Neodiprion lecontei: one gene and its partners. The main gene of each other region encodes a partner of the protein of the gene in region 3 in a complex. Links are inferred from orthologs where the notes say so. Each region holds a gene or a part of one and is shown on either strand. Other genes may lie near its edges.

The links.
Region 1: Meckel syndrome type 1 protein (region 3) and meckelin share a complex: the UniProt entries of both Homo sapiens proteins name them as parts of the tectonic-like complex. The link is inferred for Neodiprion lecontei from reciprocal best matches to the Homo sapiens genes MKS1 and TMEM67.
Region 2: Meckel syndrome type 1 protein (region 3) and transmembrane protein 17B share a complex: the UniProt entries of both Homo sapiens proteins name them as parts of the tectonic-like complex. The link is inferred for Neodiprion lecontei from reciprocal best matches to the Homo sapiens genes MKS1 and TMEM17.
Region 4: Meckel syndrome type 1 protein (region 3) and B9 domain-containing protein 2-like share a complex: the UniProt entries of both Homo sapiens proteins name them as parts of the tectonic-like complex. The link is inferred for Neodiprion lecontei from reciprocal best matches to the Homo sapiens genes MKS1 and B9D2.

The regions. Positions count from the first base shown.
Region 1 is NC_060260.1:37,172,285-37,178,915, forward strand, and holds meckelin, read right to left. Parts: upstream 4,931-6,631; 5' UTR 4,796-4,930; intron 4,714-4,795; 5' UTR 4,520-4,713; coding exon 4,412-4,519; intron 4,215-4,411; coding exon 4,020-4,214; intron 3,933-4,019; coding exon 3,681-3,932; intron 3,593-3,680; coding exon 3,438-3,592; intron 3,350-3,437; coding exon 3,184-3,349; intron 3,066-3,183; coding exon 2,781-3,065; intron 2,703-2,780; coding exon 2,232-2,702; intron 2,148-2,231; coding exon 1,873-2,147; intron 1,759-1,872; coding exon 1,578-1,758; intron 1,461-1,577; coding exon 1,250-1,460; intron 1,172-1,249; coding exon 948-1,171; 3' UTR 522-947; downstream 1-521. Other genes in the region: NADH dehydrogenase [ubiquinone] 1 beta subcomplex subunit 3, read left to right, coding at 1-288; ATPase ASNA1 homolog, read left to right, coding at 6,315-6,433, 6,548-6,631. UniProt on the Homo sapiens protein: Required for ciliary structure and function. Part of the tectonic-like complex which is required for tissue-specific ciliogenesis and may regulate ciliary membrane composition.
Region 2 is NC_060263.1:2,800,243-2,803,612, reverse strand, and holds transmembrane protein 17B, read left to right. Parts: upstream 1-1,661; 5' UTR 1,662-1,887; coding exon 1,888-1,975; intron 1,976-2,064; coding exon 2,065-2,168; intron 2,169-2,344; coding exon 2,345-2,458; intron 2,459-2,521; exon of another isoform or gene 2,522-2,540; coding exon 2,541-2,783; 3' UTR 2,784-2,849; downstream 2,850-3,370. Other genes in the region: uncharacterized protein LOC107222077, read right to left, coding at 68-279, 736-1,148, 1,329-1,399. UniProt on the Homo sapiens protein: Transmembrane component of the tectonic-like complex, a complex localized at the transition zone of primary cilia and acting as a barrier that prevents diffusion of transmembrane proteins between the cilia and plasma membranes.
Region 3 is NC_060261.1:15,444,204-15,451,812, forward strand, and holds the start of Meckel syndrome type 1 protein, read right to left. Parts: upstream 6,046-7,609; 5' UTR 6,012-6,045; intron 5,805-6,011; exon of another isoform or gene 5,641-5,804; intron 4,621-5,640; exon of another isoform or gene 3,462-4,620; 5' UTR 3,240-3,461; coding exon 3,160-3,239; intron 3,026-3,159; coding exon 2,335-3,025; intron 2,193-2,334; coding exon of another isoform or gene 2,134-2,192; exon of another isoform or gene 1,329-2,133; intron 1,276-1,328; coding exon 920-1,275; intron 513-919; coding exon 107-512; 3' UTR 1-106. Other genes in the region: rhomboid-related protein 2, read left to right, coding at 2,134-2,192, 7,557-7,609. UniProt on the Homo sapiens protein: Component of the tectonic-like complex, a complex localized at the transition zone of primary cilia and acting as a barrier that prevents diffusion of transmembrane proteins between the cilia and plasma membranes.
Region 4 is NC_060266.1:23,876,175-23,880,893, forward strand, and holds the start of B9 domain-containing protein 2-like, read left to right. Parts: upstream 1-1,693; 5' UTR 1,694-1,703; intron 1,704-2,223; 5' UTR 2,224-2,228; intron 2,229-4,719. UniProt on the Homo sapiens protein: Component of the tectonic-like complex, a complex localized at the transition zone of primary cilia and acting as a barrier that prevents diffusion of transmembrane proteins between the cilia and plasma membranes.

The DNA of each region.
Region 1 (6,631 bases), on a different chromosome or scaffold from region 3:
ACCATATACAAACTAGAAAATGCACCTGAACTGCTACGCGTTCAAGAAAAATTGGCAAAGGAAGGTTTAAGAGATCCTTGGCTGCGGAATGAAGTTTGGCGTTACGACGTAACAAAGTGGGGAACATTTTGGGGGCGTGGCTTCCGGTACGCGACATGTGGCCTCAAATTGGGTATTCCATTGTTTCTCTTAACAATAGGACTTGAAAAAGCTCTGGGAATTGAATATGGCCATGGCCATAGCCATGACCATGATGCACATAGTGGAGAACATGGTGGTCATCATTAAATTTCTTTCCAGTTCACACTGTTGATATAATAAATGAAATGATGGTGATGATACAAGTGTAGTTTGTGATATAATAAATACAGTAACTAAAATTCCTATTATTCGAACTATTTCTATTAGACTTAACTTAACATGAATCAAGAAAATATATACAGCGAACAGTGTGATTATTGTTTTAGGAGGATTTTATTTTGTACCAATAGACATGTTTTCAATATATCTGCATATTATATTCCCCATTATTTACTTTTGAACAATACTTGCCACACTTTATCCAGTCTTTCTTTGATGTCATATAAATCAATGACATTTAACTTAATATTAGTTTGTATTTGTAGAAGCAGTAATTAGAATACATGAGCGGTACATGTATAACAGTGACCTCACGATTTTCTCAATCATCCTGATACCTTCGTAAATACGACCTTAAAATCGTTTTACCTCGTCCATTTCTGGTTTTCTTATATTTATACTCATATAAAAGCAAATGACAAATGATAGTCCCATTAAACAGGGTTACCAATTATTCTAGAGCTACAAAGATCTTAATTATATTCTGGACTCTAGGTAGTATGGACATACTTCTGGGCTTCTACTTAGGCACCCTGGAAAACTTAGTTTCTTGTCCGCATAAAATTACTTTGGCTCATTTTCTTAAATCATAGTAAAAATCTTTCATCGATCAACGTTTTCTGAGCTAAATTTTTCTTACCATTAAACTTGCAACAGATAATTAACAGCTGTGACGCGAATACTGTGACTATTATCGCCAAAGTGTAGTCCTCAAATAGGGCTTCCATAAAGTTGAATAAGGTAATTTCAAAAGTTACTAACATCCATTCGTTCCCATAGAACATGGCACGATCAAAGGAATGGTTGTTGTCTGAAAAGGAGAAAGCATTTTATATTTTGTGTTGCAAAATAATAATTCCCCAATATTGTGAACAATCAAGCTTCTTACCAACATAGAAAATTGATTTTTCGACTCCTTCTCTGAATTCAATGTCTAAAAGTTTTTCAAGGAATTGCTTATCTCTAACAGTGTATTCCAAGTCTTTGAAACAGTGATCTATAAATTGGGTCAGGAATTGTTTCATCTTCTGATATGTTTGAATGTTTCTTTCCAAATTTGACGTTGAAATTATGTCACTTCTAAGAAATCTGCTCTCTTCCTGCAACAGAGAATATACAATGTTCTCTTTATATTAGAATTCTCCTCGAAGATTGCGATAAAACAAAATTAAAAGAAAAACAAAATTATAACATTCTGAATCCTTTATAACTCCTACCAATTTGATTGGGTTCATGATTTTATCATAAAAGTTTCTGAAAGTTGCTGACACTGATATTACAAAGCTTTGCTCTGTAGTACCGGGTAGAAGTCCTCTGTGTGCGCACAAATTTTCTTCTTCTTGTTTTAGGTCGCTGATCAAAGTAGCTAGATCAGTATCTGCAAATCCGTGGACTGATCTGAAAGTTGAATACTTTATGAAAAGTTCAGTTGCTAAATCAGAAAAATAAGTTCTAACCATCAACTTTGTATTCACACAAGTATGAATTTTGTAACAAATTGATGAACCATACCTTCCATGAATATAATATCCGTAATGGTTCTGAGAAAGAATAAATATACTGATATTTGCCATTGAACATAAGTCAATGAATTCTTTGATATGATTCTTGACGTATCTGTTATAAAATATAACCATTGTCAGCCATTGTACAAGGTATACAAACATATATACTAAGGTACCAACAGCAAATTTTAGCGTAAAGCTTTCTCTTTCCTGCAAAGTTGACTCTACAGCACGAATGCTAAGTTCTGGATCTGAACGTGCCCAGAATTTAACATTAACAACCTGTGGGAATAAAATGTTGTACATAATTTATTTAACAATTCGTGCAACAATTTTTACCAAAAAGCTCATATAAATTTTACTGACCTCTAAAATGAACAGTGTTGCAATGCCTTGTACAAGCATATTTACTTTTCTGATTGTTTGAATTTTGTACCATTCATTAGCGATGAAATAAGTTCGCCAAATACTAACTGGCAATTTTTTTTGATCGGTACGATCAGCAGTATCTCCCATAGAGAAAATATCTCCACCTGATTGATTGGGGAGATTCGAATCGTTTAAATCACTCTGAATCGAGAGTCTTGATCGCCTGCTCGGGGTATTAATGCTACTCAATTTGTGCGGTGTTTTGTTTCTACTAGCTGATATTATTTCTGATGGTGTTTTTGGTGAGCTACGTTTTTCACCAGAGAATCTATTAGCGTACAATTTCTTTAGAGATGTACGAGGTGAATCGTACTTTGGTTGGCTTTGAACAGACCTCGGTTGTTCCCAATCAATGAAAAACATGTCAATGTTTCTAATCTGATAGACGAGTCCCATTATCTCAACAAGCTGCAAACATAATTGGTGCAGTAACCTTTCAAAATTGTCAGACAGATTTGTAAAGAATGAAAATATATCATTATTCACTTTTAAAGAGAATGCAACGATCACGAATATTCTGACAGTCTCCTCGTTGGCCTCGCTCGGTAATAAAACATGCATCACGGTCTGCCCTTTAAAAAAGATGAACATGTAAGCACTGGCGCAGAAAACTACGAATATAAATACGTTTCCTAGTAAACCGCAGCAAAATATAAAAAACCAGAAAAACGTGGAGGTATTTGGAACTTCACTGCCATTTCGTTTACAATGGCTCCATGCCTTGATTGCGGCAAAAGCAACTGCTAAACTCGACAAAACGCCTGTAGACACCTGAAATGCATAAAAATTTGATCAGAAGAATGAATGATGTGCTCGAGTGATTAATTAAAGATTATTTTAGGCAAACAAAATTGTGCGTTCGTTATTACTTGAAAATAAACTTGTTTACCTCTATGGCATTGTACATGTCGTTATCTGCCAATATGTAAGTGATTTTATAGCTAATTTGCACCTCAACGTTTTGACGCACATGTTCGTTTAGCAATTCACCATATTCTATCATAAGTAACGGTGGGAATATTTTTCCCTTCTCTTCTTTATTCTGCACTTTGATTCTGAATGATTGAAAAAAATTACTCAGTATATGACAGTAAATTTTTGCAACACAGCACACACATTTTCAAAAAACGAGGCAATACTCACAAAATATTAATAGATTTAGCATATCTCACAACAGTTGGATATTCTTCTCTCTTAAAAGCAGTGCCTAACGACGTTGGCAAGGCTTTAATGCCAGCTATAGTATCAGTAAAGAAAAATCTCCTTACCAGTTGCCATCGAGAAGCATCAATTTCATCCTAAACAGTGCCGCAAAGATGAAGAAGAGACTTGGGCATTTTTTGCTGCCTTTATCCTTAATTATGAAAAATGTCTTAACCATCTCACCTTATTTGTATTTCTTATCAGAACCGGCAGTGCGTATAAAATCATTTTGTCGCCCTCTCTGTATCCAAGATATGGTTCAAAAAACTCCATTCTTATATCATTGAGTATTTTGGCAGTTGTTGCACACGACTTTTCAATATTAATACCAAATCTGATATTTTTGAACAAGTCGCAGATTAAAGTTGGTGCTGAGATCGATTGATATTGTCCATTCATTGAAAATGTGGCAAATGTAATATTCAACCTGCTACTCTGTGGTGAAATAAAAAAAAGTCATTAACGACATAGTGCCAACAAATGAGTTTTTTTTCATACAATTTCGTTTCATTCTCTACGTACATTACTCTCTACATCCAGACTATACTGCTGTGAAATTTTTTTACGATTGAGAACTGTTGGGGCTTCACCTTCTCCATAGTACAGCCATAAAGGAGAGTTATGTTTATCCCAAAATAATTTACATGGTATCAAAGATGTAAATAAAGTCAGGGTGCACATATTTGCCATATGCTCGCAAGCTGTTTTGTTTCCATTCTGAAAACAAATACAAAATTCTAGTGTGATGAATTTCAATAATTATTACAAATGAAGTTATTTATGCACCGCTGGTTCAATTTTAAATTGTTCATCTTTCGAATCTTTGGGAGAATCTTCACTCCATGCTATTGTGTGAATTTTTTCGCATTCCTCCGAGAAAGCAATACCAAGAATACCGATCAGTGAATACTTACTTTACACAGGTAAACGGCTAGTTGTAGCTCATTTCTAAAGTAATAACTGTCGATATGTTGGCTTTCGTATTTGACTAAGTACGTACTTCTCACATCAGGCCATTCCATTATCCCATTTTTCTTAATACAGTACTCTTTGATTTTCAAATGTGAAACTAATGGGCAGGGGCAATTGATGTGACTCCTGAATGATTTTTTTCTACACGGTATGCAACTCGTTCCATCTGGCGATGGATAGGAGTTCTCTGGACATGGAATGCATCTTACGTTATTCAAAAGAGTCCCATTAATGTCTCGTTCCACTAAAAATATCGACGTAATTTTATGTTCTCAATATTCAGTTGTTCTTTATACTATACACAAAGAGGTAAAACAGTTTCTCACATCTGACTTCAGTCAGCGAACATTCGCAGCTACTATTAGTACTAGCATCAGAACATGGAACGCAGTCCAGTCCGTCAATTGTGGGAATCCTGTCAGGGCCACACGGCTCACAGGTCGGATTACCATTTTCAAAATTGACAAACCTACTTTGTTTATTGCAAACACAATCAAGTCCTGTAATGGTGAATTCAAAATTTTACAACTTTTTTCAGATTCATTTATTAACTGTATTTTATACAATGAATGAGACAGGTCGAAAGTATAAGTTGGAAAAAGTTTACACATCATTTTAATTTATTGAAAGTACAAATAATTGATAGTATATAATAAAACAAAAATGAAGAAATTACACCATGCTCCCTAAAATATCAATAAATTAGGCAATAAATTAAACTTGCGGTCTTTGGAGGGTTCGAGGTTCTTCGTCGTGTCACAAGCTGTGCAAATTAATGATCCAACGTTGAAATATTCCCCTCTTTTGCACATACTAGGAGTAACGTATTGAAACAACTCCCCGTTCGGATACGTGTTTACTTGGAAAATATTTTCTAAAATAACGGAGAAAAATAAATAACGAACAAACGGATCGTGTATGAAAAACATTTTTAAACCATTCGATATGCGGGTGCGTTATGTATTGTATTGTTTACAGTCTTATACCTACCGCCCGTTTCCATGGCAACTCAGGGGATATTCGGAGAGACAAACCTGCAGGCGCGATGACGCATTTGATTTGATGAAAAAAAAAAATGCCGTGCTAAAATCGCATTCTACTTTTTAAAAAATTCACAATGTTAACATTTTGTAACTTAGACGCGTAATTTTAGTTCACGATTCAATTTGTGTTTGCAAGTGTCGCGGTTGAAACCGCATTTATTTTGATGAATATACCTGAATGATATTATAATACCTAGCTGTGTTATGTCGAATTTCGCTCAAAGTCCAGAGATGGGTCGAGTTCACAACGAACTTTAATCGTACTGTAGTGGAGGTAGATTTAGATGTATTTTCAATTTTATGATTTCAAAATGTGGAGCGAGTTTTTGGCTATCCGAGTAAAAGTCGAAATGCATTATTTTTCTTTTATTTAGTTCCAGTACAGTGTCTCAAGGAACTCAATTCGCAATCGGGACGGTCATTTTAGCCAGGGATGAATTGTAAAATATAGCGGAATTAGCTTTCGGTCAATGAATCTCACGGCTTCGTAACTCATAAAATGGAATGATACCGTCATTGTACAATGGCTAATAAGGTTTCATTCTTCAATAAAACTTGTTTGACATGAATTCAAACGCAATACAGGATTCGTAAAAGCATAGATATATTGATTGCATCATTGTTTGAGCATCTGTGTTTATCACTGTAACAGTTGAGCACAAGTTGGGAACAACTGTCATTAGCATCAGCTGTGAAAGATTGGCGCAGAGCGTGACGCTTGAGCGCAAGCAGCGAAACTGCGAAATTAGTTTGTCGTGACGGGTGACATTTCGATTTTTGAGTTAATCAGAGATTGAAAAATATGGCTGCGAATGTCGAATTTGAGCCGCTGGAAGCGTCCGTGCGAAACGTGATTGATCAACGATCGTTGAGATGGATATTCGTCGGCGGAAAAGGAGGCGTTGGGAAAACAACATGCAGGTGATGTGTACATAACCTATACATGAGGGAGAAAATATCGTAGGAAAATAGTTGTCCGGTTAAAATGACATTCATAAACCGATAATTGTATCTCTAATTCTTTTTTCAATACAGCTGCTCCTTGGCCATTCAACTAGCTAAAGTTCGCGAGAACGTCTTGATCATTTCCACAGATCCTGCGCACAACATCTCAGATGC
Region 2 (3,370 bases), on a different chromosome or scaffold from region 3:
AATTGTTCAGCCAAACGAAGGAAATTTACAAAGTCTACGTTTGTAAGCAATAGACTTTTGTAATTACCATTGAAGTACGAGCCACAATTTTAAAGTCACGTGGTCTCTGAACCTCAACTGGCCTAGAAGAACCCATCCTTCCAAGACTACTACCAGGCAGTTTCACCCAAGTGTATTCATTGGTCGGGGATAAGTTGAATGAAGGTGGTGGTGGAGGTGGCACAGGCACATATTCATTGTTGACAGTCCGCCTTAGAGGTGTTGAATCCATCATGTAATCTAAGAATGGATGAGATTGAATCATCGGTATTGAGTAAAGGCAGTCAAAATGCATGTGTCATAACACACATTTGAAATTGATTATCAATGTTACTGATACATATTGAAATATTTAGTTAAATTTCATCCACAAGTGTCGTAAGAATTCATATTTTGTCATAACACAATCTAAATCCAAAATCATTATGTAATGCTGGATAGAAAATCTTTGAGAATATACAAACTATATTGCTAGAGGGAATTAAATGTTTCGGAATGTTCAGAGACGTAAAATCAGAAAATAGTCTGAAAAAAAAGACATTCTAAAAGCAAATATCAGTGCAAGAAATTGAAAAAATATCTGAATACAAATAAAATTATAGATTATGTCAAGGAGATATTCAATGTGCAATCGAATTGAGGGTATAATATACAAGTCTTCCTAGAGTAGAAAATAGATAAAAAGAAAATGAGCACCATCATTGAAGTTCATTTCCATATCATCAGCGTATGAAGTTTCGACCATGGGCGGTGCCCTGTACTCCATAGCTCTAGAACCTGGCGCCAAATAATTTGTAGCCGGAATCGGGTGCATGGTTTTATTATGAAGCTTATTGGTCGTCAATGTAATTCGACCATTGAGGCCCGTTTGACGAGAAATTCCACTGAGAGGTAAATCGACAGTTTTCAAATGAGTGGCACGTAATTTGTCCAACTTCAACCTGGCATCAGACTGCTTGGCTATTTGAGCTAGTTTATCTCGAGCATCAGTGAGTTTCTCACGATTCTTTTGGATGATTTTGAATCTAGCATCCGCAATGACCGGCCCTCCTCGACCTCTCGAAGATACGTTAGTTCGTAGAGTACTTCGGTTGATGCCTCTTCTCGACCTGTAATATTGGTGAGATATCATAAGCTTGCTGTAATTAATGAGCATCAGATATGATTGTGGCTCGATAGATGTTTTTGAAGGTTATAAGATTCATGGTGAAGTAAGGCTTAAGTAACGAGCTTTACTCACAGAAAAAATTTTGAGATTTCAATAAGAAAATGATAAATTCTCAACTCACCCGCGGCCTTTCATTGCTGAAATTTTGGATTTCTTGATTATGTCATCTAAACTAAGCACATTATCGGCCATGCTTCGACAAACTGTACCCTGGTAACTACAAAAACAATCGAACGATGAACCCTAACTTACACCCCTGATGGATCTATGGGGGAACGCCGTTTTGGATCTGTTTGATGTATCGCAGTAGCGGCAGTAGCTATTGGTGGCCATTGGCCTACGAGTAAGTGACGCGACCACGACGCGAACCTTAGCACGTGTTCCGAAACGCACAACGAATTGCCGTGTACCAGAGTTACCACTTCAGTGCGATTTTATGATACGGCAGGTAATACTGTACAATGCTCTAACAATAAGTAATTAGTTGCAGTCATACATTACTTATGCATTTACCGTCGCGGCACCTCGACAATTAGTTAAAAAAAACCTATTCCATGTCAAAGGGTGTTACTAAATCAGGGGGGCTCACTCTCTCTAAATATCCTTGGTTTGTGGTTGCAGAAATATTTGTTGTCACAGCGACCTGTAGACCACTTTAGGTTAATAACTTTTTTTATGCAATGTGGAAGGATACAGTAATAAGTGCATCAGATAGAATATTTCCAGGTCTCGCTTATCACAATCGAATAAAAGAATTTCATGACATCGGTAATAAACCTTGCGATCTATTCGACGATGTCGGAATGGTCAGCGTCGCGTTGATGTTCGTATTCTACGTTACTTTTGCCATTTTACAGGAAACGTGATTAAGTCCAGTTTACCGCTACAAATGGCACTGTATTTCAATACTTGGCTATTTCCGTTTTGGTTTTTCATCAGTTTGAATCTTCTCGATCAAAAAGTAACTACTCTTAACGAATAGCAGCAATATTGCTGATATTTTAACCCCGTTAAAGCCCGGTAAACCCATCACCGGTTAAATATTGATTACCCATAGTTGACTCGTTATCAAGAATGTACGTATTGATATTTTAATCTAATACTTTAAGCTTAACTAAAGTTGTGATTTTTTTTCAGTACCATAAACTATCGGACATTTACAAATTTATAACTGTTGGCGTTTTCGTAATTGTTGCCGTTTCGGAATGCATACGACTGTACCTAGGATACCTTGGAAATTTGGCAGAGAAGGTTTAGGCGTTGTATTTGCGTGAACTTGAAAAAACTTCAATGAAATGTTATGGAGAAAATTACCATATTTGCGTGATTTCAGATTCCCGAGTTGGCTTGCTTTTGGCTGATTTCAACACTGATACAATTTCCTCTACAAATGTTTACTCTTGTTGATGGTAGGATGCTGCCAGGTAGAGGAGAACATGTAGTAAACAGCGTTATGTTAGTTTTCCTCCTCACTGAAATAATTACTGGAACAATTGCATTAAGAAATTCGGCCAATCATCATGCAAAAAGATTTTACCTCGCACAACTGTACGAAATTAATGAAAAACTAGAGTAAGACCGATGAAATATCTTTGAACTGTAATGCTTGTATATATGAAATATTAAACTATTCATCACTTAATTATTTCATAACTCAATTATACAATCATTAACCTCGTATAAAACATAAACATACATACATATCTTTCATCTGTACATAGGTATAAAGTAATAAATTTATGACCCACAATCACTCATTACCTAGTTTCATTTGGCACCTATCAGAATTGTGTAAATACACGATTTAATCTGCGGAGCAGCAGCCAGTCACCTATTGGTCACGTTTGCAGTGAATCCAACTGTTGTTGAACACATTTTAAATATTCGTTGTAAAAATATGTTTGTACTAAAATGTAAAAACTGCACATGGAAAAACTTGTAGATCAAGTTTTAAGACCACATATCATCAGTTTGCTTCTGAGCCTATATTCAAGACTCGTGATTAAGTTCCGAAATAGATAAATCTTGAAAAGTATTTTCAAATATCTTGATAATAATATGTTATCTACCAAACATAGTTAAATCAAGCTTGGCGTTCACAAAGAAAAAATTAAAGTATTTTTCAAGCTCGCCATGAAATTTACTGAAGTAACTGTTGGTTAT
Region 3 (7,609 bases):
AATTCACATTGCCAACTCTTTGTTAAATTGTGAAGTCACGTATTTTCCTTGATTTCGCACATCGCGTTCCGCTAATTCTCCGAAACGTACGTGTCAAAAGACAATTTCACGAGTTCATGATGCGTGCTTTTATCATCCGTTCTCTGGCAGCCTTAAATTGTTCAAGAACGTCGTTAACACTGTTCATAAGTCGCCCAGCACTTAGACGTTCGAAAGTGTCGCGTTTAAAGCAGCTGCCATCGATGAAAGATCGGCTCTGCTGGATGATGTTCAATTTCAGTTCAATCTGACCGTTTGGCACCGTCTCCAAATTTGCTTTTTCCAATTTCGTATCGTCGTACATTGCGGGAATACCACAATAAGACATATCTTGAAGCTCGTACGTTCCGCCAGTAAAGAAGCGGCGAAGAGTGTTTAAAAAGTCTCCAACTGGTCGCCAAGTATGCAACGTCAAGTAGTGACATCCGGAAGTAGCTGGAAGCGCTTCAGCCGCATACCCTTCGATTCGGTACCTTTGTAGCAAACATGATTCATTACTAATTTATTGAAATTCAGTTAAAAATAGGCAATACTAATTATCAATATGACGGCAGTAGTGATGATCAGCTGGTCAATTTAGATCAATTTTGCAAATATCAAGGCACAGCATTATCGTGCGAGCTGTTAGGCTTCCATTTTTTGATAGTAAGTTAATCTAGCGTAAAATTTGCGATTAAAAGCTGCGCTGATACTGAAATATGATGGCTAAGACAGTTGATTTATTTTTTTCACTACCAGGAAATAGCGTCTCACAATTGATGACTTACGTTCTAATACCATGCGTGACTAAAAGTTTAAATTAGCATAACTTGTATTCCTAACTCGGGTTTTTAAATCTTCAGGTATAGGAACCAAAGATTCTATCGACTTATGTAATTACCTAGTCCAGCTATCAAGAGAAGCTATCGAAATAAGAATCCACGGCCAGGCAATTGAGGATTTCTCATCTTCTAACCGGGATGAATTTAACTCGATGCAAAATTCGGCTACGTAACTGAAATTTGCACTTCCTTTCGTCATTGAACATCGCTGTGTCCGACCAGTCAAACGTTCCGGTTGATCTGTACTCCAATATTTAGGCAATTCAATGTGATACGTCACGAACAAACTATCGTACGGAAAGTTGTGAGCAGACATAATGTCCAGATTGACAAAAATCCGCAGGCGATTAGCTGGAGGTAATCCAATTTGAGGAAAGATTTCTGCTTCCCTGTAGCTCAACTTCTGCATTACCTGCTGTGAATGTACACAAAGTAAAATTATCAGAGTAAAAAAGGATGACCAACAGAATGGCTCTAATTAATTTCCTGCACGCTCGGTTTGGGAGTAGTTGATCAGATTCATTTCTCAATATCGGCAATTGTCTTTGGGGCACAAACTGTTTTGTTTTAGATAGAAAGAAGATTGCTCGCCGAGAAGTAACTCCATAAAAAATGCGTGACAAATTGTATCCATATGGTATAAATTACTCGTTTTTTCCTGGCGACTCAAAGTCGGATCAGGAAATATAACAGGACAATAAGTAAGAACAAAACAATCTAAAAGAGTTGATCGACTTCAAGCAGTGAAGGTACAAGGCTATGCGGATCGCTTTGTAGGTGGAGCATGTGGATTATAAAATTGTGAAAGTATTTTGTCGGATTTGTTTTACACTGTGAAACTCGAGTGTGTGCGATTTGATAGAGTAAACATATGGAGTTAGTGTGGGAGAATGTTTGAGCTGACATTCAAGGAGCTACACAATTCAGTTATTTGCAGACAGTATAGCAGTCGAGATCAGTGAGTCTGATACACCAACCTTATCCATTGCCAGTTTCTTTACTTAATACAATCAGTCAGATTGTTTATGGTTCAGATTCGTGGAAATATAAAATACAAATATTGTTTGTAAGATTCAGTGATAAAACTCAATTAATAACCTATACTGATTAAAACTTTACTCGCAAATGAAATAAAATGTGTGCAGTTCAAATAATGGAAACCGGAACTTAACTTAAAAGAATAAAACCACGGAATAATTTGCAGTGAAGTACTGTAAATTATGGTACAGTAAAAAAGTCAGAAGGTGGAAATTATAAAGAATCAGCCGACAAGATGAACGTCTTTTACCCGCATAAAATGATGCGACAGATATCCGAAATTTCCTACGTTGGGTACGTATATCCGAAGCAATGTTAACGGAATTTTATTATTGATCTGAACTTGATCCACGTTGGTCTGATTTTCGAGTGAATTATACGAACGCAAATTACTGACGATATTTCCGAGATACATAACTCAAGGAATTTCACTTACACCACGCAATTCTTTAACTTCAGTTTCCAAATCTTGAGGATACTGAATTTCGGATGCATGTTCGATCCAATAATCGTAATTCATATCAGTGCCGTGAATTTCGTAAGGCTCTTGGTACGTGAAATCGGGATCGACGGTTAAAGAGCGATGAATTTTGTCGAATGTGATTGTGCACAACAGTATTTGTGAGTCATCAAAATCGTAGGAACTGGACTTGGCGTTCGGCATTAAATCGACTATGATGTACATTGTCGCGGAATCTCTGTGGAGATAATGATTAGTGCGAATTGTAGTATCTCCGGGATTATCGTCGATAACTTTTTTGTTGTAACGTTCAACGAAGGGCTTTCGGTTTTGCAAAGTTGGTAACGCTGACGCGTTTTTTCGAGACAAATGCGATTTGTACGGCTTTGTCAGTAAGTCTTTATTGGGAAAATAAGAATCATCGTCAATGTAGGTATATATGCGAGACCCAGTAATATTTTTCTCGGTTATCGTTTCGTGATACTGTTTCTGCTGTTTCGTCGCACAGTTTTTTGAATCCGCGTAAAACTGCGCCTCGAAACGGCCGAAAATTTTTTCCTGCCAGGAGAGAATTTTCTCCTCGTATTCCAAAAAATTCGAATCTCTGGTTTCTTCTTCCGTTTTAAATAATTCAACTAGTCGGGATTTCTGTTGTGCAATTCTGACTCTGAAACAATAAACCCAAAGTGAAATAAACGGCATCGTACGGCCAGGGAGGAAGGGCGGGGGGGGTTCGCATTGGCCAGATGGCCACCCAACAGAATAACAGTTTTAAATATTTTTGTTAGCTAATTCACCTACCTGATTTTGAAATTCACAATCGGCTCGCTGACGCGGTACGTGTTCGCTATTTTCGCTTTTCCCTCAATATTTTTCGACATTCTTGAATCACATTTGAATCGGAAAAATAATCAGTCGCTTTGGAAAGACTCGGTTCTTGGTATTCCATTCACAAAATTTCACACGTGATGTTTTTAACGTCTCGTATTCATTTATTTCTCTACTTTAATGTTTGTCAACACTGGTTGCATAGCAACCGTCGATATAGTTCCCGCCATTATTTCAAACGCGTGGTCACTTCAGGAGCCTTTACTATGGATCAGCTAACAAAGCGAGCTATCATGTTTTATTAACTATATTGCACGTTCGTATATCCACCATTATTTTTCTGGATATTTATATAGTTACTCGTCTTTTGATATTTGCACCACTTTTGATCTTACTGATTGATCAAACAAGGATAATCTATACAAAGTTTACTGGGAACTGTTTAAATATACACAAGCTTCAGCCTACTCTTTGAATTAAAAAATTCTGACGACTTCTCAAGCAATCAGAATTATTGTTTCACAAATCATTGAATTGAAACTCGATGTAATTATATGCAGTGAATACGCGGAAAATAGGCTGAGTTAAAATAACTATAAATATCGAGGCTAGAATTAGAATAATTAGCAAATCACCGAATAATTAGAGTGGATTTGAAAGAAGTTGTTCTTCTCAATACTTTTTGTCACTTCCTTAACTTTCGGTATATAGTTGGAATAACTGCCAACTTGAATTTTATACATACGAACATTTTGACCATTGTTTCAAGGTTTTACAGGCTTCAAACTCATTTACTTTGATTGACTTCCATAGTGATCAATGATTGCAATTATAGAGGTGTGTCGATTTCATTATAATAAACAGGAAGAATTGATGCACTACATACTAATCGACATGTTATTAGTAAAGAAGCCTGTATTCCTTTGTTATATAATTGCGGATCTTGTACCACACTACAACTGAGATAAAACTACTCGTCATTCAAGTCAATCATACCTAGTTTAATCGAAACCAGTTTTGATCCAGGTGAAAATATATTTATAACCATTTTCAAAATGTATATATTCATTTTTTCATTCGTATTATAAGTCTGGAATCATTTTTAATGATCTATCGGCTGGGCTGTCTGAATTAAAAGTTAGGAAAAACAAAAAAATTCGTTCTACAAATCTCCACTAATGGTATTTGGTTCAATGATAGTGATCACGAATGAAACAATAGCTCTGCTATTCAATTGAAATGTATCTGAGCCAATCAGAATAACGAAATTTAAGATCTCAACATCTTAAAAAAAGGTTGTATAATTACAACTTCAAAATTCTTGGACACGGAAGTTTTTTCATTCCATTTCAATATTTTGGGCTCACTCTTTTACCAAATTTGAAATAAATTTTACAAATAATTATCCAGAGTGGATAAAATAGATACTTGTAAATACGGAAAACAGATTCAATCTATTTATATTCGCGCGTTATAATTATATTGAAGTGTAAGATCACTTTTTGTTAAGCGAACAACATGAACACAAAAGACTAGAATCAGACTAGAAAAACTATATCTGAAAATAAATTTTTAACGTTCTAACTATGTATAATAATGGATATTTTTTAACTGTTTTCTATACTTTGAACTCTTTTTTAACTTTTGATCGAGTCATCCTTAGCTTTATAATTGACAGAAAATTTCTGCCGATCTTCGAGTGTCACAATATTTGAAAAACGGGAAAACTGCATTCTCGGTTTCAAAGGTGAGCACCCCGGAATGTAAAAATATTTAACTACTCCATTTGACTTTTGACACCGAGAACACGGTTTGCCCATATAGATAATAAGGTCGAGAACTTTCATTCTACAATCTACATTTGAAAAAAGAACTATCGAACTTGTGCTATGAAATAAAGTGGACAAGTTCAAGGCTACGCTCTGTCCCAGCGTGTCGATGACTCGGATGCGTGTGTGACGGAGTCTCCCAGTAAAACCCGGACGGCTAATGGAAATTGGAAAGGCCAGACAGCCATGGCAAGCTAGAGGCAAGCGACGCAACAGCCGGTTAAATCGATGCTTGCAATTCTCCGTGACGCGTTACCGGCGGTGATGGTGTTTAAAATAACCGAATGATTTCTCCGAAACTTCGTGGATTGAGTCAGGTTTCTGCTCAGTTATAAGTCGGGGAATTCGAATCTCCTTCAGCTTTGATCGACTACTTATAAGAATGAGCAGTATCCTTTTAGCGCGAAGTAAAATTCGTCGGGTCCTGCAGCCACTCCATCACGATCGCCTCGAACATAACCCAATTCGGCCTCGGGCAACGTCAGCAAACGTGCTTAACGGGATTCCACGCTTGGGTTTTTCACATTGATAATCGTGGTTTGCCATAGAGGATAAAGGCCTCGTGCGCAACAAACTGCAGCTGTCGAAATTGATACGTCCTAGTTTAAACTTTTTATCTCCACGCTTCTTATCTCCGCACCCATCTGCAATAGTACGATAACGGCGAAAAATGATTTCATCACCATCAGTACGTAGCTCCGCGTAAATACTTTGGACCTGACACACAGTTGCTATACTCACCTTCCACTTGTCGTCCGTTCGCCCGAATCGCATAGCCGAATCGTCGAGGTATGAATTGAATAAATATTCTGTGTTCTTATTGTAACGGTTAATGTTTCGCGTACGAAAATGTGAAATTAAATTGCTTTGCACTCCGTTTTTTAAATAATCGCGCTACTCATACTCATGAATACGTACTCGGTATTCGTTCTTTGGAATCATAACTGGGTGACAACGATTATGCTAATATCACTTTTACGACGATAGGTTATAAACCTTATTTTTTCGATTTCGGAGTGTTTGACCTTGATCTACCCCTCAGTTACGTAAAATTGCACGAAGCTGAAGTTAGTAACGTTATCGTAACGGAACAGCACGAAAATCAAATTTGAGGCGATCCTATATGAAGTAACGACTTCTCCTAACATGCATCGTTATATCAACGTTACTAACTTCATATTAATGGAATTGTAGCTTCAGGGGATATTTATTGTTAACAATGATCGATTTTCCATTCGATTCCGAAGGAGGTTGGTGAACAAAAAATCAATATTATCTACCAATATTAATACTAAATAGTCGCACGTTAAGTTTTTACAAAATTAATACATTCAAACACCGCAATATGTCCTATCAAAATATAAAGTTACGAATTACCGACAATCATAAACGAAAGCGTGAATATCAATGCTTAATTTAAATCGCATCAAAATGATGAAAAACCGAGTATAAGATTCGTTCCATTTTACTCTATATTGGCTCATGATATTCAGGACATAATTTCTTACAATCCCACTGACACACTTTTTTTTATCAAGTTAGCATTGTTAAATAATTAATTTTACAACATTTAACAGATACTGTTTGTGATCAGCAAATGGCAATTCTCAATTGCCTACTGAAAAGAAATTGCATCTGTTCTAGTAGAATTTGAAAGGAATAAAATTTTCCAAATAAAATCAGCCATCATATAAGAGTGAAATCTAATGACAATACTAAACTTTTCATCACTGTCAATCAGTTTGAAATGAAACATGGATATCTAAGCTGCTGTTAATTATTCGTTTGTTATCTTGCTTTTTTTAAGAAATCATTGTAGCTTACAAACATATTTATATCTAATTTATGACTATATTATAATAAAATAAAAAATAAACACCGATCGGTGGCTCAACAACCTCCTTACTCAAACTTTGAAGTTTAATTGCAGAGCAGGTGCAGACAAAAGCATTGCATAAAAGAGTTTTTATTTCAAATTTTATGGAGTAATAGTTAACAAATTCTGCATCTTATTATAATTTATAAGCATGTGAGTGAAAGTGAAAATCTTAGTTTCAACTTATTATGTTTGAGAATCCATTTCATCATCCTGCTAATCATCACCAATCATTTTGGATTATTTCAATCATGCGACGGGCACGTATACTTTTTAATAAAAGTTTTGCACATTTTGCTGCTCTATTATTTACATGGAATCATGTAAAGCGATGATGTAACATATTTCATTTTGTCACAGTCATAAAGAAGATAATTCTGTCGTTAATTATAGATGAAGAGTTGATTGTTATCAACATTATTTGATTGATCTACATTTATTGACTTAGAATAAAGAGTGAAACAGTTTTGTATTTTCATGCTACAAGTTCATCCTATTCTACTACCCACAAATAAATGTATTTGACTTGTTGATGGTTAGAAAACTATTGTAAACAGATAAATTGTGTGTATTTCTCGTAAATATTTAGTTGAATCAATTTAGAATGATATTTATTTGTATTATAATTAGTGCCTATTTTAATTTTGGTGTTTTCATTCGTATAGGAGTTTCAAACTAATAAGGATGGCTAGTACTCAAGATGCCGAGGGTGGTATCA
Region 4 (4,719 bases), on a different chromosome or scaffold from region 3:
AAAGCCCTCGAGTTCGGCGTCGTGCTCTACTTATATACTTATATGCGCCCTGCCGGCATTTTGTTATTAATTTCAATATAAAAATTCTGAAACGTTCTTGAGACTATAACCAATAAAGCCTTCAAACTCGAATTGCTCTAACTGCTTACAATTTCTTAAAAAAAAAAAAAAAAAAAACTCCACAACTCTTCTCGCGTCGGATCGGTTATACAGCTGACAATGAGTAGGTATCCATGTCCGAGCTTTGGTCGAAACAACAAGAAGCTCACGATCAGCTACTGTATCATCGTTTTTCGCCCTTCCGATTTTCCATGTGTGTGCGTTGCGTAGATACGTAAAGGATGCCCGTCTGGCTGAGTTCATTTTACGCGCAGATCTCCTTGTATTCCCCGCACTTTATCACTTATTCTCATTCCGTGCACGTACCTCAATTTTATTTCAAGTCTTTCTCGCTCTCTTTCTCTCTCACCCAGCTCGCATCCGTCCATCCACTCCCTTCTCTCTCTCTCTCTCTCTCTCTGTCTATCACTCCGTCCTCCTCACTCTAATAAAAGCAGGCCGCTTGGGCTGTAATTTTGTTTCAAGCCTATTCATTCAACGGAGGCACCTCCACTTCATTAGCCCTACCAATCATCTCGGTTTACACAAGTAACGCGAACGATATCGCGTATCGCGTATCGCATGAGGTTCAATACGAAAGGAGAATGAAAAAGTTGCGTTAAAAAAAAAAATAAAGGATCGAACTATATTCAATATTACCCACATTTGTCGAACAAATTTCCCCCCGTTTATAATACGTATAACTCGGATTTCGAAATATTACACATGTTTGTTATACATTTCCCCACGAGAAACATCAAATAAAATTTTAATTACTCATTTATTGGATGTTTTCGCTTATGCAAATACGTAAAATTTTACTGCCCGTATCATATTTAGGATAATAATAATAATAATAATAATAATAATAATAATGATATTATATCTTTTATTCAAATTCAATACAATGATATAAAATCATTTCAACGAAATCAACACCCGTCCCAATCAAACAACAGCTCAGGGTAATTTATATCAACCCTGTTTTTGCCTTATGCACCAAATTATTAACGGAAATTCGGATTCAACTATTTTTCTTTTAAACAAACACAGGCAGAAAAAATTTAAAATAATGAAAACTTTTTTAACGTTCACGCAGCTGTTGAACAATTATCTTAAACTATGTAAGTATCATTCGAAATGACAGGAAGAACGTTCAACAAACGTTTCTTTTACCGTGATAAACAATTTACTTTCACAAAAGTGTCCGTGCATCACATAACGCAACGTGTGCACGATACGCAAATTTATTACGTAGACGTATACATATATTCATATTTCCTGAGGGTATGATATTCGTTCAAAGGAAACCACAGGCGGTAGTATAACTGTTAGTTATACATACACATGACACGCGGCGTGCATGCATAGGTCGAATTTGACCGAATATTGTAACCATCTCTTGATGTATTTAAATGTATACTTGCTAATTCCCTAAGTACCATCGTGCAACCTCTGCCGAGGCAGAGACTAAATCCAAAATATCCCATATCCAGGCCTTTGCGCTTTGGGTTTTAAGCGAAACGCGTTTACACCTGTGTAAGTAAGTATGATGCAAGGCACACGCGAATCCCGAAAAAGGGATTCTACGACGACGTGTGCGCGTGTGTGTGTGTGTGTATGATTACACATAGTGCGTTTGATGCGCGGGGCAAAAATGTGCAGATCTCGACGAAGGGTCGTGGAGATTAGTACATATCCGTATCTACCTCTATTCTTGTCGGTATGCAGTTCATTGATACAATGCACAAGTAGCGATAACAAGTACGAGTTTAATAAAAATGGAAATTTATTTGTTCGCGGATGAGGCCGAAAAACATGAGAATTGTAGTTTAAGAAACACCATTGTTTAATCATTTTGGTAGTTATATTTATAAAACTATTTCTGAAAATTTCCGGACATTTTTTTAACGATTATTTCTCGTTTCCCATTAATTTTCATACATATACGTATACATGTATATATATATATATATATATATATACATACATATGTAATATATATCCGTGTATAGAATATGTATAAGTCGCATATATAAATATGTCAGATGTAGAATCGAGTATGAGGCAGTTCAGTTCGGCTTCGAGCCGAGCGAAAGCCCCGAGTGCCTGAGCACTTCAAAGTTCCGGTTCCGCTGCCCTCCGACAGGGTAAAACCCATTAACTGTAATGTATGTATGCACGTGTGTACGTAAAATATATACATATATACACACACCTTGTAAATGCAGATTAAGGTGTTTCGTGCGAAGATCGATGTGGCGTTGAAAATATTGTAATCCCCCGAAAAGACGTAACAACGTCAACTACTTTTGTTTTATGAAAGAAGAAACGGTTTTTTTTTTTTTTTTTTCATATAGAATATAACGTATTGAACAATAAATATCTGTTCATTCCTGCTACGCGGACCAAGTTCGTTTCCCATACTGTAAGGTGAATGTATTTTTAATTTTTTATGGTACAAGTATTGGATTTTAAATGAAATTTTCTCCACTCCTTCGCTACCTTCGCCCAACGACAACGAGGAGATATATGTGTATATGTAAATACAGACGCCTCCTTTGAAGGTAATGGAAACGGAGTGACGAAAGGGGTAACAGACAAAGAATAATATAAGTGAATAAGAAATTGTGACAAGCCGCGGGCGGGATGGAAATCCTCTGTTCGAGTCGAAGCGTTATATCATATTATACAAGAATAACGGTGTATCGGAAATATACATGTATATTATTTTTTTGTCATTCTCTTCTTTAGATATAACGTGTATTCATGCGTAATAACACAAGAAATAGCGATACGCTGATAAGAAATAGCGTAGAAGTAAGAAAAGTGAAGAAAAAAAAAAAGAAAAAAAAAGAAAAAAAAAATTGAGACGTTACATTCAGCAACGGATATGCCCGGAGGCGGGCAAGCAGGCAGGTACATACCAAATAGGTATACTTTTATTTTCCCCACTTTTACCTCGTCGGTTTACTTTACTTTGTCCTTTTCTTCTCCTTTCTTGTTCTCGTTTTATTTTATTTTTTTCTTTTATTTTTTTTTTTTTTTTTTTTCACCCCGTGGCCTGAAGTCGATACTTTGAAAAATTTTAACAAGCGACGAAATGCTAAACTCCTTGCGTCTTAAGGCTCAAAGCTGGCAGCTTAAACTTCACTCAGGGCCAAGCTGCGAGCTCGAGCCAAGATGTAAATGAGATATAGATTGTGCGGATATACGAGATACATCTAGGCGAGAAAGGCGTGAAGAGAGTATAAAAGGAAGTGAAGGAGACGGGGAGTTACGGAAAAATTTAAGGATAAACTTTTCCGTCCCGTTTACACAACCGCAAAACATACAAGCAACCACTGTAACCGAGTTTATAAAATGCCACACGTACTTTATTTTATACGTTATAAGTGTGCGTCAGGATGCTCCTTGTTCAGGGTGTCGACGAATCTTTTCGATGTCTGAATTTTTTTTTTTTTTTATTCAGAGGTAGCGCGATTCGTCCAGATTGCCTGATATGACGATATTTATTTTTTTTTTCAGATGGCAGGACTAATGCCCACCAAAACTTCGCCGTTGAAGATTTTTCGGAACATTATTACTCTTACAATAAAATATCTGTTGAGAAAAATACGTTTTTTCCTTGTTATTACCGTAAGAAACATCGATCGTAACTTTGATGAAATTTATTCACCGAGCGTATGATTTTTGGAAAAATTTTGAAACCGCTGAAAGTGTGTGTGTGTGATAGGCATACCTTAATATACGCGACGTATTAACGAGAGATATAATTACCAGTTACGTGTGAGCAGAGAGTGTGTATATATATATACGATATGGGATGAAAATTTGAATGGTTCCTCGGCTCGTTTCCCTGGATACGTACGTAACGCAACGAAATGCCTTTCGGCGAACCTATTCCGGGCACAATTTCCCCGTATCTACTGTTCTATCGAAGTCAATTAATTTCGTGTAAATATTAATTATCCTCGACTACTTTCCCCGGAAGGCACATCAGTTTCGGCTTAATTACTTTGGTGATCACTGAATAAGACATGTTGAAACGTACGTTATACACACCTGTGATACTCGAGACTCTCTTACCTTCCCCCAGTTAACGGAGAGGGGATATCTTGCCCCTTTTACCTTTCCGACTATCCGTCTTTAAAATCAACTAATTGATTCTCATTGAAAACCAGGTGCCAAGAATTGCGTGCTGATGAAGAAAAAACGAGTGTACGTACAGCGATTGTTCACTAACGCCTTGGAGTTTCGGCTAACTTGTTTTCGCTTCGAAATAAAATTTATAACGCGATTTCTATTCTATACCAATTATTTAACAATGACTCCTAATCTCTGACGTAGACGCGAAAACAAGTTAGCCGTAAACCTAACGCGTTAATAAACATTAATTTACAAGTGATTTGTCGATAGTTATTAATTTTGGAAAAATGTGTGCTGGAACAAACCAAAAAAAAAAAAAAAAACCAATAAAACACGTAGTAAACAAAAACCAACGAAAAGCGATATTTGCTTTTCTCCGCTGTTCCGCCGCTAATGGCAACGCATTTCTTGTAGGGTACGTGAAACGGAAATAGGCAAGTGACTCGGATAGTTAGACACACGATATCATTC